Ovis aries: one gene and its partner. The protein of the gene in region 2 interacts with the protein of the main gene of each other region in a biochemical or structural test. Links are inferred from orthologs where the notes say so. Each region holds a gene or a part of one and is shown on either strand. Other genes may lie near its edges.

Region 1 (3,646 bases), on a different chromosome or scaffold from region 2:
GAGGGGCACAGGGAAGTCAGGAGCCAGCAGCGGAGGAGGTGCAGAGCTGGGGAGACTCTCCTCTAGTTCTCCTCCCACTCTGTGGCTCTGCCCCTCCTGCTCCCAAGCTGAACCAGGCCCTCGAAGAGACAGCTCTGCACTGGGGTCAGTGATGCCAAACAGCAAAGGGCAGGGTCAGACCTTGGGATCAGGGCCAGCTTCTCCTGTGAGGGACTGAGTTGGGAAGAAATGGCCCTGGGCTGAGTTCTAGTCCTGTGCCAGGGCTCGACTGGGCAGAGGAGGCCTCCTAGCCTGCTCCCAAGCCTAGAAGGGCTCACCAGTGGATGGTGGAACATTCTGGGAAACAGCTGTCGAGAGAGATCAGGTCTAATGCGAATGCAGAAAACTGCCTTCCAGGTAGTCCCCCAGCTGAGTCCAGGAGACCCAGAGCCACTGTGTTCTCCATCAGCTACAGCACTGGGGCTAGGAGCTGCGAGCTCAGGCCAACCACAGGCCTACACAACCAGCGTAAAATGAATGGGTAGGAAGAAGGCCAAGAGGCAGAAATCAAGAACCAGAGTGGACTGAAGGGAAAACCCTAAGCCAAGTTTCCACAGAGCTATCAAAGGAGGGAATAGGGGCTGGAACTTGGAGCCAGAGGAGACAGCCAGGCTGCCTTATCTAAGCATAGGGCCACCCTCTCTTCCTGAGGGACTGGGGGACCCACCAGGACCAGGTCTAACCCCACATTTCCCTCAGAACCCCTTGGCAGAGAATAACCCCTTCTGTCTGGATCTCAGGAAACTTAAACTCAATTTCTGTCTCCCCACCCCACCTCCCGCCAGGTGCTGGCCATATTTTGGTCCTCAAACCAAACCTATTATCAATAGCTCTCCTCCGGTCACCTGAATTTCCCCACCTAACCTCAGGGTCTGCCCAATCGTGGTGGATTAATTATTCTCTTGATTTCCTAATATACAGTCATATATAGACACGCATATACACACACACACAGCCGACTAGGCAAGGACACTGTCTCAGAGGCAGGGAATGTGTTCATTTCCAGGTGGCATGACTTTGCTTCAGTGGTGGTTGTACTAGCAGGGATCCAGCCTCAGGCTCCTCTCCCCGCCTTGGCAGCCATCCAGAAAGTCAGCCCAGGGAGGAAGAGTTAAGTGCCCAGGGGCTGGGCCAGACTGCCGCTGCAGAGCCAGGCAGCCTCCAGCCCAAGGCACAGAGGGCTCCTCCACACGAGCCCGCCAGCCGCCGCCTTTGTTGATGGGCTCTGCCACAAGCTCCAGTGACACGCGATGCTCCGCCCTGGCGGGCTGGTGCCAGGCTGCCCGCTGAGCACCCGGTCGCTGGTCTGGAGAGACTGTGAGGTACACAGTCTCCAGAGTCCTGGCCCTGGTTTCCAGACAGAGACAATGAGGAGCGGCCTCCCCAGCTGGAAAGTGTCGGGTTACAACCGGTTCCACCACTTTTCCCAACTCAGACCCGTCCAGGCCTCGGTTACCCATTTCCCACTGCACCACAGCCAGGTACCTCCGACTGTCCAGTTTTCCTCAGCACCATGAAAATCTTCCCCTTAGGTCTGCAAGGGACCATCTCCCACTGATGAACTCAATAAGATACAGTGTGTCAATCAAGGCTGCAAGAAGCTATGCCATTCTCCAGAAGAGATCGGAGCATTTCCCAGGGGCCTGAGCTGAAAGCAGGCAGATAAACAACTTGGATCTCATAGGTGAGAGCAAAAGCACTCATCCAGCCAGGCCCATTCTCGATTTCCAGTTCAAGAGAATCACGGTAACGTGGGTCCTGGCAGAGACAGAGTTGCTGAGGCAGGCCCCAGCCCCACAGACCCAGCAGATGCACACCACCTCCCCCCACCAAGCCCCAGTGCCTACTTGCTGCATATGAAGCCGATGGAACTGGTCTGCAATGCACTGGAGTTTTCGGGCAATCTGTATCTCTGCTCGATGTTGCCACTGCCCTTCAGGGGGTTGGTCACCAAGGGGCAAGCCTGCAGGGAAACTGGCAGGAAGGGGGAGCCGGTAGCCAGCATTGCCTGCAAAGACAGAGGGCCCACATCTCAGCAAGCTCCACCACTGCCCCATCTTCCCCATGCCTGCCACCCCTGGTCAAGACCCGGGGTCAAGGGTAGACTCTAGTATGGGAAGGAGAGGAACTGAGCCTGTCTTTCTCAGGGCACTCTGCCAAATGTGGACAGCCTGACTTGCCTGCTGACCAAGAGTATGAAAGCTGATGCCAGGCTTTCCTCCCTTCACTGGCAGCGCCATGGCAAAGGTAATAAGTGTGGCTGAACTTGCCAACCTTCTGTCCTTATTTACACAGCTACGCTTGACCACAATTTATTATTCATTATTCATACAGTAGTAGCAGGCTGAAGCTCTTCTCTAGAAAAACATTGGAGGCAGCTCTCCAGAGATCCTCAGTTGAGCAAAGCAAGGGACAGAGAATGAAAATCAGAAAGTAACCTCACTTTTTGGTGTAGCAGAGAAAGGCTGGTTTCAGGCCCTGAAGCTCTGGGCAGTGGCACAGAAACATAGGGAGAGAAGACTCCTCTGAACCACAGAGTAGCCAAGTTCCTCTCTGCAGCCAGCCCCAGGCCAGACATCTAGACCTGCTCTCCTCACTGACCAAGTGCTGGTCACCGAGCTGCCGCTAGGGGCGCCCGCTTGCTCCCGTCTTTCCCTCCTTCCTGCCCGCCTGCCTTATCCATCTTCTCAGATTCCTGCCAGAACTTTGCCTGAATTGTCCTACAGTGCAGCTCCTTCTGGGAATAACTGCAGCGTCTCCTCAATCCGCTCCATTGGACCCAGCAAGATAGCCTCTGAACCACCCTTCCCTCCATAAGCTTTGTGCTAAATGAAGAACACTGGCTATCTAACCTTGCCCTTTTGCCAGAGGAGGGCAAATTGCTAATAAAACCAACCACTGAAGCCCACAAATGAAAGGGTCTTATCTGACTGAGCCTTGGAAACAGCCCCTTTGTTGGCAATGAGCCTAGGCAGGCCCAACCTCTTTCTCCAGTTCCCCTTCCAAACACAGAAAGTCCCAAGTGACAACTGGGGCGGGGAACCTTCTGCCTCCAGGAAACTTCTCTCCCAGAACAAGCTGGGTTTTCCCCTTCAGTGTCAACAGCGAGTCACAGATCCCCCAGCCTTCTCCAGGGCAACACTAGCCACTTTACGGAAGGTACATCACTATTACGACACAAAAGCCTGGGCCAGTCAACAGGCCATAATATGTAAAAGCCAAGACCCAGGTACCCTTCTTCCAACCCAAGGAGATACCATGGACCCAAGGATCCCTCCAGAAAGGGACAAATGAGCAGAAAAGAATGGCAAGGCAATCTGTCCTGCTTGTGGCCTGAGGAGCACAGACAAGAAGCAGTATATGAGCAGAGAGTCAGCAGGTGAAGAGTTGAGGGATCAATAGCCCCTGCTGCTCAATTTGGGGAAGGAAATAGCAAAGAGCAGGTTTGGGGAGGGAAAGTCCCCTCTTTTCCCCCATCTCTAAGGGAGGAGTCCTAAGGCTAAGAGCACTCACCATAAAAGAGTCGCTGGGGCTCCTCAGTCACCCCACAAGGCAGCATGACACCCTGGCTCGGGGAAGCTGGGCTGAGAGTCTGGGTAGCCTTGTC
Region 2 (3,746 bases):
CCAGGCACAGCCTCCAGGAAGGTTATGAGATGCCACTGCAGCAGCCAGTGTGCAGCTCAAACAGAATGGTCCCCGAGAGGAAGTGGGCGGCACCTTCTACCCAAAGGATCCCAGTGTCACATGTTCTCTATCTCCTGGCCTCGGGAAGAACACGTGCCCAGAAACGGTTCTGATATAACTGGCTCTTCTGCACACATCCCCTCTGTCCACCAAGAGGAAGTAACACATGGTATGCTGTTGGGCAAAGAGACAGCAGAAGATGGAATGTCAATCCAGTGGTGATCTAATGATCTTGCCCAGTGTTGCTGTGTCAAAGACCTCTTTCCACACGCAACACTGGGTGACTAACAACTCTCTGGTCCAGGTGGCCCTCTTAGACAACTGGCTGGCAGGCCAGGAACCTCTCCCATGTTGCCTTTTGTTAACAGTTGGCCACAACCCACATGGAATTAGGACCACCAGCCAGAGATAACAGTGAGGGGCAAATGGCCCAAGTCTCTACTTAGGCCTCAGAGGGTGTGTCAGAAACGCTGGAATCCTGTCCCTCCTGTAGTAAGTTAAACAAATATTTGCCCCTAAAGAAAATCAAAGCAGGAGGGAAAAAGAGAGGTCATCACACAAACCAACAGGAACTATTTAATCATTTATTCCCCCAGGGAGTTCATTTACTGAAAGGCTTTCAAGTTGGGTCAGTCTGAGCCAAAGAAAGCCCTCCACCTTTACCTTCCCAGCCCCACCCCGGTCATCTGACCTCTACTCTGCTCTTTATAAGAACTGGCAGTGGGAAGAGTTGATGAAGTTGCAAAGAAATGGGAAATAAGACAGGGGGTGGTGTACCTGGAGGTCCCTTGCTCAGTGGTAAACTGAAGTGGCTGCCACACCCTAGGCCCAGCCTCTGGATAATTGCATTCTTAACATTCCTGAGTCCATGGTGCGTGGCCCTTTCCACCTCAGCTCCTTCAATAGATGACTTATTTTCCACAGCCTGCTCAATTTTCTGAAGGACAGAATGAATACCTCTCTTAAGCCCTACACCTCCCTGAGGCAGGGAGATAAGCGAGGAGATATGACTGAGTTCACTGCAAGAGAGCAAAAGCTGCTGACAGTGACCACAGGTAAAGAATCCCTCCACACCAGCTCATCCTGACTTGGTGATATCAGGGCAAGGGAATTCTCTTCCCTGGCAAAGGAATGAGGCACGACTCAGTTTCAGAAGGTGTACCTGGATCTGACAGTAACTACTAGAGCAAACTTCCTGTCACTATGCTCACATCAGCTCCAAGATTTACAAGGACTGCAAGGCAAGAGGGTTGGCCACATTTTTTTAGTGGAAGAACCTGAGGCTCAAGGTAAACTGGCCTGTCCAAGGTCACACACCTAGTTAAGTGACAGGGCTGGGACTCACATCTGTGTCAGTTTGTTTCTGAAGTCTGTCACTGAATCTCAATGTCCCAAGGAGCCCCAAAGATCAGGTTCTTGCATTGCCAGCAAACAGTGCTCAGTGAAGAGGCCCCAGGGCCATGGCAGAAAAGTGACAAGCATAACAGCTGGAGCTCCCCAACCAACCCAGGCAGTGAGGTGCAAAGTCCCTGGGCTGACAGCAAGCGCTCCGCAAACTGGCCAACCACACAGAAAAGTCGCATACTTTAGAGCCAATAAATATGGGGCACAGCACAAACACAACTGGCCCATTGGCGCAGCTTACAACCTAAAATCAGACAATCCTCAGCCATCCAGAGGGATGCAAAGCCAGGCCATGCAAACTCTGAAATAAGGGGAACCTGATTTGGAGGAGGGAAGCCCAGGACAGGATTGACAGCTCAAGGGAGTAAGACTGAAGGGGCTGGTGGGTCACTGATATTCACTATCTTCTCCAGGCATTCCACTCATCACCCCTTAACGTTGTGAGCCATTATGTCAGGGTGAGGGGTAACCTGTTACCTTTGCATTCTCAAAGGTTTGGGGCCAAATGAACACACAGGCTATGTTATCTTCTGCAGAGAAACTGGAACACAAGTATGACAGAGTAGGGTCACGAGGAAGACCAGAATGAAGATGTCTGGTCCTCACAGAACTAGGTCATCTGTATTTCAGAAGTTAACCTCTGTGATACAAAGAGGCCAGTTATGTCTCCTTAACAAACAATAATAATCACCCAGCACAACAGACACAGGGGAAAGGTTGTTGGGGATTTGACCAGAAGCCAAGGAAAAGGAATACATAAGGGGCGTGGTTCTTACCCAGCCGCCGTTCTCCTGGATCCAAGGCTCTAGGTGGTCATTCAGGTAAGTAGCCATCCAAGTTGCGATCCGACTCACCAATACCTGCATCTCCTTGTCTACGCTTTCCACGCACAGTGCCCCACCGAAGGAGAAAAAGGCCACAATGCGACCCCAGTTCACCCCGTCCCGGAAGAGTTCATTCACTACCTGTTCAAAGCTCTGATATGCTGTCCCTGGGGTGATGTGGAGCTGGGACGTCAGGTCGCTGAATGCCCGTCGGTACCTCAGTTCAAACTCATCGCCTGCCTCCCTCAGGGCTTGCTTCACCGCTGCCATGGGGATCACTTCCCGGGCATCCAAGCTTCTGCTGTGGCCGGTGGCTCCATTCACCGCAGGGCTATCCGCCAGGTGCCAAGATGGGTTGCCATTGATGGCACTGGGGGTTTCCATATCTGATTCTGTCCCTTCTGGGGCCTCAGTTCTGTTCTCTTCCACATCACTAAACTGACTCCAGCTGTATCCTTTCTGGGAAAGCTTGTAAGAGAGAAAGTCAACCACCAGCTCCCGGTTGCTCTGAGACATTTTTATAATAAGGATGGGCTCCACCAGTCCATTGTCCAAAACACCTGCTCACTCACTGGGTCTGGTCTCTGCTTAGTGGTTCTCTTCGAAGATCCAAAGGCAAGACAAGGTTCTGAAGGGAAAGAAAGAGCTTCAGGGGGGAAAAAATGAATATGCAAGCCATTTACCTACAATATCCCATTCCCCACTCCAGGTACTTGAACTGGGTTCTCTGCCGCTCTTATGAAGATATGGGTCTAGCTTCCCAGGTACTTCGATGAAGTCAATTTGAAAGCACCAGTGGGCTCTGAATCATCACACCGGCCTTTTTTTCCTCCCCTTTTATCCCAGCCACCCCCTTTTCTCTGAAATGTCTTCCTCGAAAAGTCACCCCCATGGGCAGTCTGCCCCCCACCCCCATAAACCCTCACCACCTACATTCAAATCCGTCTCAGGCGACGGCAGGCAGGTGCAGCCCCCGGAAGATCTTTTGTATCATAGGTGGGAGAGGAGGTGGCAGCGGGGATGCCGGTAAGTCAACCGGCCTCGCGGCGGCGGCTGGCAAAAAAAGCAGCTCCGGCTGGAGGGATCATGCGACCCGGCGAACTGAGAGCTCAGGAGGCGACACAGGAATTACGAAGCTCAAGAACCGGCCCCCTCGCTTGCTTCCTCCTCCATCGCCCCGATCGAGGGCGGCCGCTGCCGCGGCCTCCTGCCACCCGGGAGCCCAGCCCCCTCGCTCTTGCACGCCCCTTGGCTCTCCGCCTCCTACTGGGAGCTAGGAGAACTCTCTCGGAGGTGGCTGGTGTGAGCTTTAGTTTTTTTTTTTTTTTTTTTCTATTTCAGTATCAGCCCTGGGTGAGGCTTCCGAAGAAACCTTGAAGGGACTTCTCGATGGGGCTCAAGGTTTCGATGAGAAACAGAGGGAGGGGAACACTGCCTTGGATCTGCGGTCTGAGTTTG

What was found.
Region 1: the proteins of BCL2L1 (region 2) and BMF interact in a test that uses a peptide from one of them, tested with the Homo sapiens proteins (2 studies listed by BioGRID). The link is inferred for Ovis aries from reciprocal best matches to the Homo sapiens genes BCL2L1 and BMF.

Annotation. Positions count from the first base shown.
Region 1 is NC_056060.1:33,965,334-33,968,979, forward strand, and holds part of BMF (bcl-2-modifying factor), read right to left. Parts: coding exon 3,553-3,646; intron 2,048-3,552; coding exon 1,887-2,047; intron 1,688-1,886; coding exon of another isoform or gene 1,625-1,687; exon of another isoform or gene 1,529-1,624; intron 1-1,528. UniProt on the Homo sapiens protein: May play a role in apoptosis. Isoform 1 seems to be the main initiator.
Region 2 is NC_056066.1:60,937,162-60,940,907, forward strand, and holds the start of BCL2L1 (bcl-2-like protein 1), read right to left. Parts: upstream 2,845-3,746; 5' UTR 2,805-2,844; coding exon 2,241-2,804; intron 1-2,240. UniProt on the Homo sapiens protein: Potent inhibitor of cell death. Inhibits activation of caspases. Appears to regulate cell death by blocking the voltage-dependent anion channel (VDAC) by binding to it and preventing the release of the caspase activator, CYC1, from the mitochondrial membrane.